Drosophila melanogaster: one gene and its partner. The protein of the gene in region 1 interacts with the protein of each later gene in a pairwise test. Each region holds a gene or a part of one and is shown on either strand. Other genes may lie near its edges.

The links.
Region 2: the proteins of CG13887 (region 1) and Zfrp8 interact in a two-hybrid assay, tested with the Drosophila melanogaster proteins (one large-scale study listed by BioGRID).

The regions. Positions count from the first base shown.
Region 1 is NT_037436.4:836,167-840,453, reverse strand, and holds CG13887 (uncharacterized protein), read right to left. Parts: upstream 2,594-4,287; 5' UTR 2,334-2,593; coding exon 1,830-2,333; intron 1,352-1,829; coding exon of another isoform or gene 1,301-1,351; exon of another isoform or gene 1,205-1,300; coding exon 1,022-1,204; 3' UTR 523-1,021; downstream 1-522. Other genes in the region: JMJD5 (jumonji domain containing 5), read left to right, coding at 1-396; CG13901 (uncharacterized protein), read left to right, coding at 3,003-3,671; CG42554 (uncharacterized protein), read right to left, coding at 3,901-4,287.
Region 2 is NT_033778.4:24,132,357-24,135,905, reverse strand, and holds Zfrp8 (zinc finger protein RP-8), read right to left. Parts: upstream 1,918-3,549; 5' UTR 1,891-1,917; coding exon 1,622-1,890; intron 1,565-1,621; coding exon 1,480-1,564; intron 1,426-1,479; coding exon 736-1,425; 3' UTR 680-735; coding exon of another isoform or gene 539-679; 3' UTR 501-538; downstream 1-500. Other genes in the region: Naa35 (N(alpha)-acetyltransferase 35), read left to right, coding at 1-476, 539-679.

The DNA.
Region 1 (4,287 bases):
GAGGATATATCCATTCCCGACTACTGCACCATCAGCAACGAAGATACCCCAGGAGCTGTGGACATCAAAGCCTGGCTGGGACCAGCTGGAACCGTATCTCCCATGCACTACGATCCCAAGCACAACTTGCTGTGCCAGGTATTCGGTTCGAAGAGGATCATCCTAGCTGCTCCTGCAGACACAGACAATCTGTATCCCCACGACAGTGAGTTTTTGGCCAATACAGCGCGAATAGATGCTGCTCAACTGGATCCTGAAACATATCCCTTGGTAGCCAAGGTGAAGTTCTACCAGCTGCTCCTGCAACCTGGTGACTGTTTGTACATGCCACCCAAATGGTGGCACTATGTGAGATCTGAAGCTCCTAGCTTCTCTGTAAGCTTCTGGTGGGAGTAAGCATTTTAATGCAGTTTATTGAACAGCAAATTTATGTAGGATGATCTCTGTTCAAGTTAAGATTAAAGTATGCACTGCAAAACCACGATAGATCACTAAATATGCGAATTTGATTAGCATTTCTGGGTAATTATCAAGGAAACATATTCGATGCCCTTTTCGCACACCGATAATGTAACGCCTCCGATTTCTAAGCTCCAAGTATGCAAACAGGTTGCGACGTCTGACGTCATTGCCGTGTACTATCAGACATGATGTGGACTATCCGCGCCAACAGATGAATCATCGAATCGATCACAACTGGATGGGTACTTTTTGGTTGTTCTTTTAATAGCCACGACGCTTTTTGGGTGTGTTACTGTGGCAAACAAAACTTAACACATACGAATTAAATACAAAACTTCGGACGAAACGAACATTGAGTTGAGGGACCATTATCAATATACCCCATTATCATTATCAAATGGTATATGTAGTTGTATCTATGAGGATTAACAATAAGATGTGTGTGCTTTCTATCGATTTGAAATCGTTATAATCTTTTAAATGTGCCTGCTTTCGCTGCCCCACCGCCATGCTTATAAGTCTTATCGTTATTTAAATGTTGGACTTGGCTCCAGTGAGTTTAATCATCCTTGTTTCCGCCTCCGCCGATGGTTATCTTCTTCTGCAGCTTGCTGTACTCCTCGGTGAGTCGGTCGTACTCGCGGTTGATGCTCTCCGCCTGCGACTTAACCGCCTCCTTGTCCTTCTTTTCGCGATTCAAGTCGGAGGTTAGCTCCTGGACGCGCTCGCGCAGCTTGTTGAGCTGCAAAATTCGGATTTCGTTTGAGTTTCGATTGGATTTTTGTTCGTTTTGGGTGTTTGGGAATGGATATAAGGTGGGTGCTCTAGGTGGGGATACTTAGGACACTCGGGCGGTGAGTCCTTGCACACGTCTCCGCAGTCTTGACAGCTGTTTAAAGAGTTAACAAGAGGTTTAAACTTTCGAGTGGTGGCTTCTGTTTATCGTGGCCCAACATATGTGTTTGGGTGTGGTTTCAAAACGTTTAGCTGCGGTCAAAACAAAAGCACTAAGCCTATGACAAATTCACTCGGTCTTCAAACTGATTTAAGTTTACGTTTAAGATTTTAATCATGATATATACTGGTATTTAAAGTTCTATATCGTTAATAGACTACATTTAAAGCCTTTTCGTATCTTATATTCAAAACCAATTGAGAAAATGTACCAGAAAGTGGAATGAAGTATAGATTTTATAGATTTAGTCGGCTAAAGACATTATCTCGCCATATTTTGACCACACCTTCTATATGCATTGCCATATCTTTACAGCTGGTAGTAGCCAATTGAACTCCAAAGTCTTAGGTGTTAGCTCTCTAGACATGCCATTCCTGGGGATCGGATGCAGGGGTTTGGGACGTGGACTCACCTCGATGAGAGTGGTATCCTCGCCGGCTTCCTTGGCCTTCTCGGTGTTCTTGTTCTCCAGCAAGGAACGTGCGGCTGCAGTGGCGCTCTGTGCCTGCTTGAAGGAAGCCTCGCTCTGGGCCATGAGATTGGCCTGGGTGCAGATCAAGTTTACCAGTCGCCGGATGACCAGGGCAAGGAAAATGGCGAATCCAGAGATGTAGAAGTTCCGCTGGGCACGGAACAGCTTCATGCTGTGCTGCATCTCCACGTTCAAGTGGACCTCGTTAGACTGCTGCAAGCCGGAGTACTTGCGCATCTCGCGAATGGCCTCCAGGAGGAAAATGACCAGAATTCCCATGATCAGCAGGAAATATATGTGCGCCTGTTGTCCCAACATCGATAGGAATTTGGACTTGAAGAACCGGTTCCAGCGGTAAGGAGTGAGCACCGGCAGCACCAGCAGAAGGACCAGTGCGATTTCCGCATAGAGAAATCCGGCGATCAAAGTCCACACCAAACTCATTTTTAATGTTTTATTAATTCCCTTTTTCGTTCGATTTTCGCTTCTTGGATTTTCGCTTTTTTCGACTGCCGCCTGTAAGCAGAAATGCGTCCAAATTAGCTGCTAAGTCTACGGATTCGGGACGGACGGTCTAGTGGCTATTTATAAACTACGGCCGGAGTGACTGGCTGCTTACTTTAAATAGCAATAATTAAATCGCTGCCGTGATGAAATATGCGTATATTTTATGTAGTCACTGCGCCGGCCACGTCAACTCTGTTTTTTTGTGTACGCACGGGGCTGCCAACTCGCGCGCTGGAATCAACTGTAAATTGGGTAGCCAGAAAAAAGCTGAATTCATGGAAAATATTCGAATTTCAAAATCATTTTATTAGTAAGTAAAAAAAATGGCAAGAATTAGTACGTATTTTGCATTAAAATTAACCATTACCTCCAAATATTACAAGACAAATCGATCATAAGGTATTGTATGTAATGCTTTAAAGTGCCTTGGTAACCCGGCTTGCGATGTAAACAAGCTGGCAGCTGGGTTGCCAGGTTTCCATCGCAATGTGCTTCTCAACAAATTTTCAACTTTGCGCCATCGATCAAATTTTCTGCCCCGTTCAGTTGTTATATTCGAATCTCCGGCGGAGACGTGTGCCTAGGTAATCCCATCAATCCCCAGAGATGTCCTACCAGAACTGGCTAAACTACCTGCAGGCGGCGGAGAAGAACTCCATGATAAGTGGCCGCGCCCGCAAGGTGCTCTACAAATTCCCGGACGGCAGGCAAATGGCCGAGGAGTACAACATGGACACGGGAATCGTGCAGCGGCGGGCCTGGAAATCGAAGAGCAACAAGATCATGGGCGAGTCGGAGTGGGAAATCGAGCTGGGCGATGAGCCGCGTCAGTTAAACTGGTCGGGCAACAAGCCACCAGGATCTGGCGAGGAAACGGACTCCCTGGCCGGCGGAGATTTCACCCTGCGGGAGAGCAACACCGCGCCACTGCTGACCAAGCGGATCACCAAGAAGAACATTGAGTGGCGCATCCGCAACATGCCCTACTCCCTGGACACATACAGCGTAACCGCCGATCCCGAGAAGCGTGCCATAGTCGTGCGCACCTCGAACAAGAAGTACTACAAGGTCATCCCGGTCCCGGAACTGGACCGCTGTGGGGTCAAGCCCGCGCAGGAGAGCCTCTCTGTCCACCACCAGTTCAACACGCTGATCATTACCTACCAGAAACCAGATATCCTCTGCGAGATGGAGGCACAGGTGCTGCTTCTGCTCAAGAATGTCGACACCGAAACCGACATGGATGATCTGCTGAAGGGTCTGATGGCCAAATAAACGACTTAGATTGTAATACACAAAGTATTATTATTATTATTATTATTGTGAATTAACCTAATTTAATTTATTTAGAGAATTCCCAAATACACTTCACAAAGGGAACTGCACAAAACGTTGAAATGAAGAACGTGCCTAAAATTAAATCCTAATCACCACTCAGCGGGCACTGCATTACCACGAGATCTTTCAAATTAGTTGAAGTTTTACAAATGGATCTTAACCAGGCCTATTTCTGGAAGCTCTCAGCCATGCCGGCATAGCTGGCCAACGAAGGAGCCGAGGAGCTGGTGAACAGGCTGTAATCGAAGGAGGGCAACTCCAAGGGCGCCAAGGATGGCAGGTCCAGGTCTCCACTGCCCGCCAGCCGCTGATCGCAAGTATCGTGTTCCTGCTCCTCCTGGGCAGAATCGCTCTTCTTCAGCGTCTCCATATGGGGCTCCGAATGGGCCAGTGTGCTAGAGGCCTTTGCCACCAAGGAGGAGGTGAACTTGGCATCGAAGTCCTGCACTGTTTTGTCGATTGCCTTGGCCACCGACTGAGCGGATCCTCCTGCGCCTCCACTTGCTCCGGCTTCTGGTCGCAGGGGCAGCATGGGACTGGTTTCCTTCAAGGG
Region 2 (3,549 bases), on another chromosome or scaffold:
TCATTGGCTTCCTGGTCTCCGCGCTGACGCGCACGGAGAACATCCTCCTGGCCCAGGAGGAGTACGCCGAGCACCAAAGTAAGACCCAGTCGGGCGGCAGCGGAGCGGCTAAAAACCGCAAGGCGGCCAAGCCGAAAAAGAACAAAAAGACTCAAAGGCCGTACCGCGCCGAGATCGTCTTCTACCACGCGCTACTCAGCCTCTGCGGCGGAATGTATAAAGCAATGGGCGCCCTGACCAAAGACGGACGCGTGCGACTGCCGCTGTCCAAGTTCGACAACGAGGAGATCCGCTACAACCGACGCTTCCTGCCCTTCGCCACACTCACCAGTCCTCCGCCAGTTTCGTACGCAGAGTTCAAAAACGTCCGGGAGCACATGATGCGACATAGCGTCGAGGATCTATATACCTATGCGGCCAAGCACTTTGACCAGGCCCGCAATGTTCTCGAAAGCATTCAAAACCCAGATCAGGAGGTAAGTCAATGGTAGTTCTGAATTGGTTTTCCTGGATTAAAATGCGTTTCGTTTAATTTCAGATGCTGGACCTCCTGCAAATCGCACGGACTAACTTTGTGGTGATGAATGTGCTGGCTCGCGGTCACCAGAAGGAAGTCAAGCGGCAGCCAGAGTTCGACTTCTCCAAACACAGCTACTTCCCCATCATCAAGCTGAAGTAAATGTTCACGTGTTTCGTAATTGACAAGAATAAAATTTAAATGTACGCATTTTAATGTCAACTCTGATCCTCCGCCACAATGTCCTGCTTGATGAGAAGCTCCTCCACGTAGCCGTCGATGGGGCAGCTTTTGGCGCAAGTGTAGACGGCCAGGACGCCCCAGTCGAGGTTTTCGTCCTCCAGAAGAGTCAGCGCTTGCGGCATAATCTGAAATTCGAACTGACGCTCTCCTCCGCAAGCAATGCAATTGGGCAGCTTGTTAAGTTGGTCCTCCACCGTTTTGACGGTATTCGTGATCCAGAGGGGCTGGCCTCCACGTTTGTAGCGCACGATCTGATCGGGTTCGGCTGCTGTTTGCTTTTTGAACTGACGAAAGGTCTTGTCATCGGCGGCCGCCGAGTTTCCGAAGTACTTGTCCATCTCCGCCTCGGAAACATTGCTCAAGTCGCCCGTCTTCCCGCTGGACTCCAGCTCCTGGAACTCCGCCAAGCGAGCCTCATCGTCCTTGTCCTCCTCGCCAGACTCCACGGGGTTGCTGTCCATTACAATCTCAAATTCTGGGAAAACGATTTGTGTTAAGGGCTTCTCAGTGGCTACTTCTGGTGCTCCGCAGTTTGGCTTGTGTTGTGGCCAGTGGGCCCTTTGATGCTCTGGTGAGCAGTAGTGGATTGCCTTGCATTTGCTGCAGGCGTGAGGAGCATGGCAACCGCAGGCGGCGCATAGTTTCTTTAGGCAGGGAACGGCGGGCTAAGAAAACATATTATGATGAGTATGTTCTGAAAATATGGCTGCTGTTCCTACCAGGGGTTGACCCACGTCGCTCGGCTCCTCCTCCGAAAAGAACTTATTTTTTCGCGGCAACTGTGACCTGAGGACTGTGAAATTGCTGGAAAGATGGGTAAGATTAGGTTGCAAGTTGGTTTTCAGAGCTAGAAGGGATTACCTTGCATTTTGGGCCTCCTGGCAGTCGGAATTCCGGCACAGGAACACATAGATGGACCGATGAAAGTTGTACTCGTCTTCGAAGGGAGCGTATAGCTGAGCCAGGAAGGATTTGGGTGCCCTGCACTTGCTGCACTGCAGCTGCGACGTGGGCGGCAAGGCCTCCAGTTCCAGCCATGCGGGCTGGCCTCCCAGCTTGCTGGGAAAGTAGCGGTTGCTCAGCCAGGCGCCATTGTCGCTCTTTTCCGCAAATCCCAAGTCAATCTCCATTTCTTTCAATCTCCGAAACGAAACTCGTGTTCAGTGTGACCGCAGCGGGAGCGCCAGAAAATACCTCTACAAATTCCGAAATAACGTTGTATAATAACTGATATTTTCGGGGAATCACACTTTTTGGGTGTTATAATTTAAAATTTAAATTAATTACATTCGTTTAATTTGTTGATTTCGGCAGTTCAATAAAATAAAATATTCTTTTCTTCATTGAATATTTGCGATTACTCTTATAAACATAAGGGGGAAACATAAGATTTTAATTTAATGACATTAATCTGGAAGAATAACAAATCTCATTATCCTGAGCCCTTAAAAATGGCAAGCGGTTCAAAATTATAGAGCGAGGATTAATCAGATAAGGCCCCTCTTCTACGCCACTGATAATAAAGCTTGCATGCCATGGATTTGGTATTTTCCGCGAGTTCCTCCATGGCGATTTCCCAGATTTTGGCCACTTCAGTATGCGGTTATTTCTCACGGTTAAAAGTTCTGCTCTCCGAGTTGATTAAACTGGCTAAAGTGATATTTTATTTACTGTTGTGATAAACGCGTGTGAAAAACAAAGACTTTCCATTGCCCGCGGACACAAACGATCACGAACCGAAGAGTGAACCGCTCAGAAACGGGGGGAAAACCAGTTTTCCCACGATTTGATGTGATTGTGAAAGCGCAACGAGATTTGTCAACGCAAACAAGCAAGAAGAAGAGCCCGTGGATAGCGTAATATTTGTTAATAATAACGGCTGCAAAAACAACAACATTGCGGAAGCAGAATCTCCGACTTGTCGCGTTTCCGTCGCAGCAGCGCTAAAAATAAACCCACCCACGCACCGCCCCCTCTCGAATCGCCAACCACCCACTCCCGCCCACCATCCACCTACCACCACCTTCCGCCCACACCCACGCACGAATTTGGAGAGGTGAACTTGTGTTGACTTTTCCAGCGCGCGGACTTTTCCGAAGAAAAATGCAAAAATGAGAGCCGAGCCACCAGCGGACCACTGGGAATTTGCGTAAGTCCAAGGCGGATGCTTCCTGGTTTCGAATTACAGGGTATCACGTGCGCTGCTGCGAGCTAGTGAACAAGAAGGCACCAGATGTTTGATGGAGTGCACATAGAGAAAAGTTTGTGTAGGAACTATTAGGTGTCCGGTACAGGGTATCTCCGCTTCGATGCCCCTGGCAGTGGCTCGCTTTCTGGCTGCCAAAGAACGAGCCGGGTGAGCTTTTATTTGCTAAATTTAGTGCCGCATTGCTGAAAATAAGAATGGGAGCACCCTGCCATCGGTTGCCGGTAGGCAGACTCATATATATGTATATGTATATGCATAATCGCCCCTGACGGCCAGTGTGTGGTTCGGTGGATCTTTGTCCAGGGCACATGGCCCGAAACTGTTGCATGGCCCATCCTCGTCCTGGCCAATCGATGCCTTCGATGCCGACTTCGACTTGGAGTGCTGCCTGAATCAATAAACGCCTCAAATCCCTGCCATATTGCGTCCATTGTAATGTCAGCACATAAATTCTCTGCCCATCGAGGGGCATTTTCACTCGGCTGCAGGCATTCGGTAGTGGTATGTACGCTATGTGTCCTGGCCAGGCAATAAATATTGAAAATTCAATTAGCAGACGGACGGGCAGCCGAAATGCTAT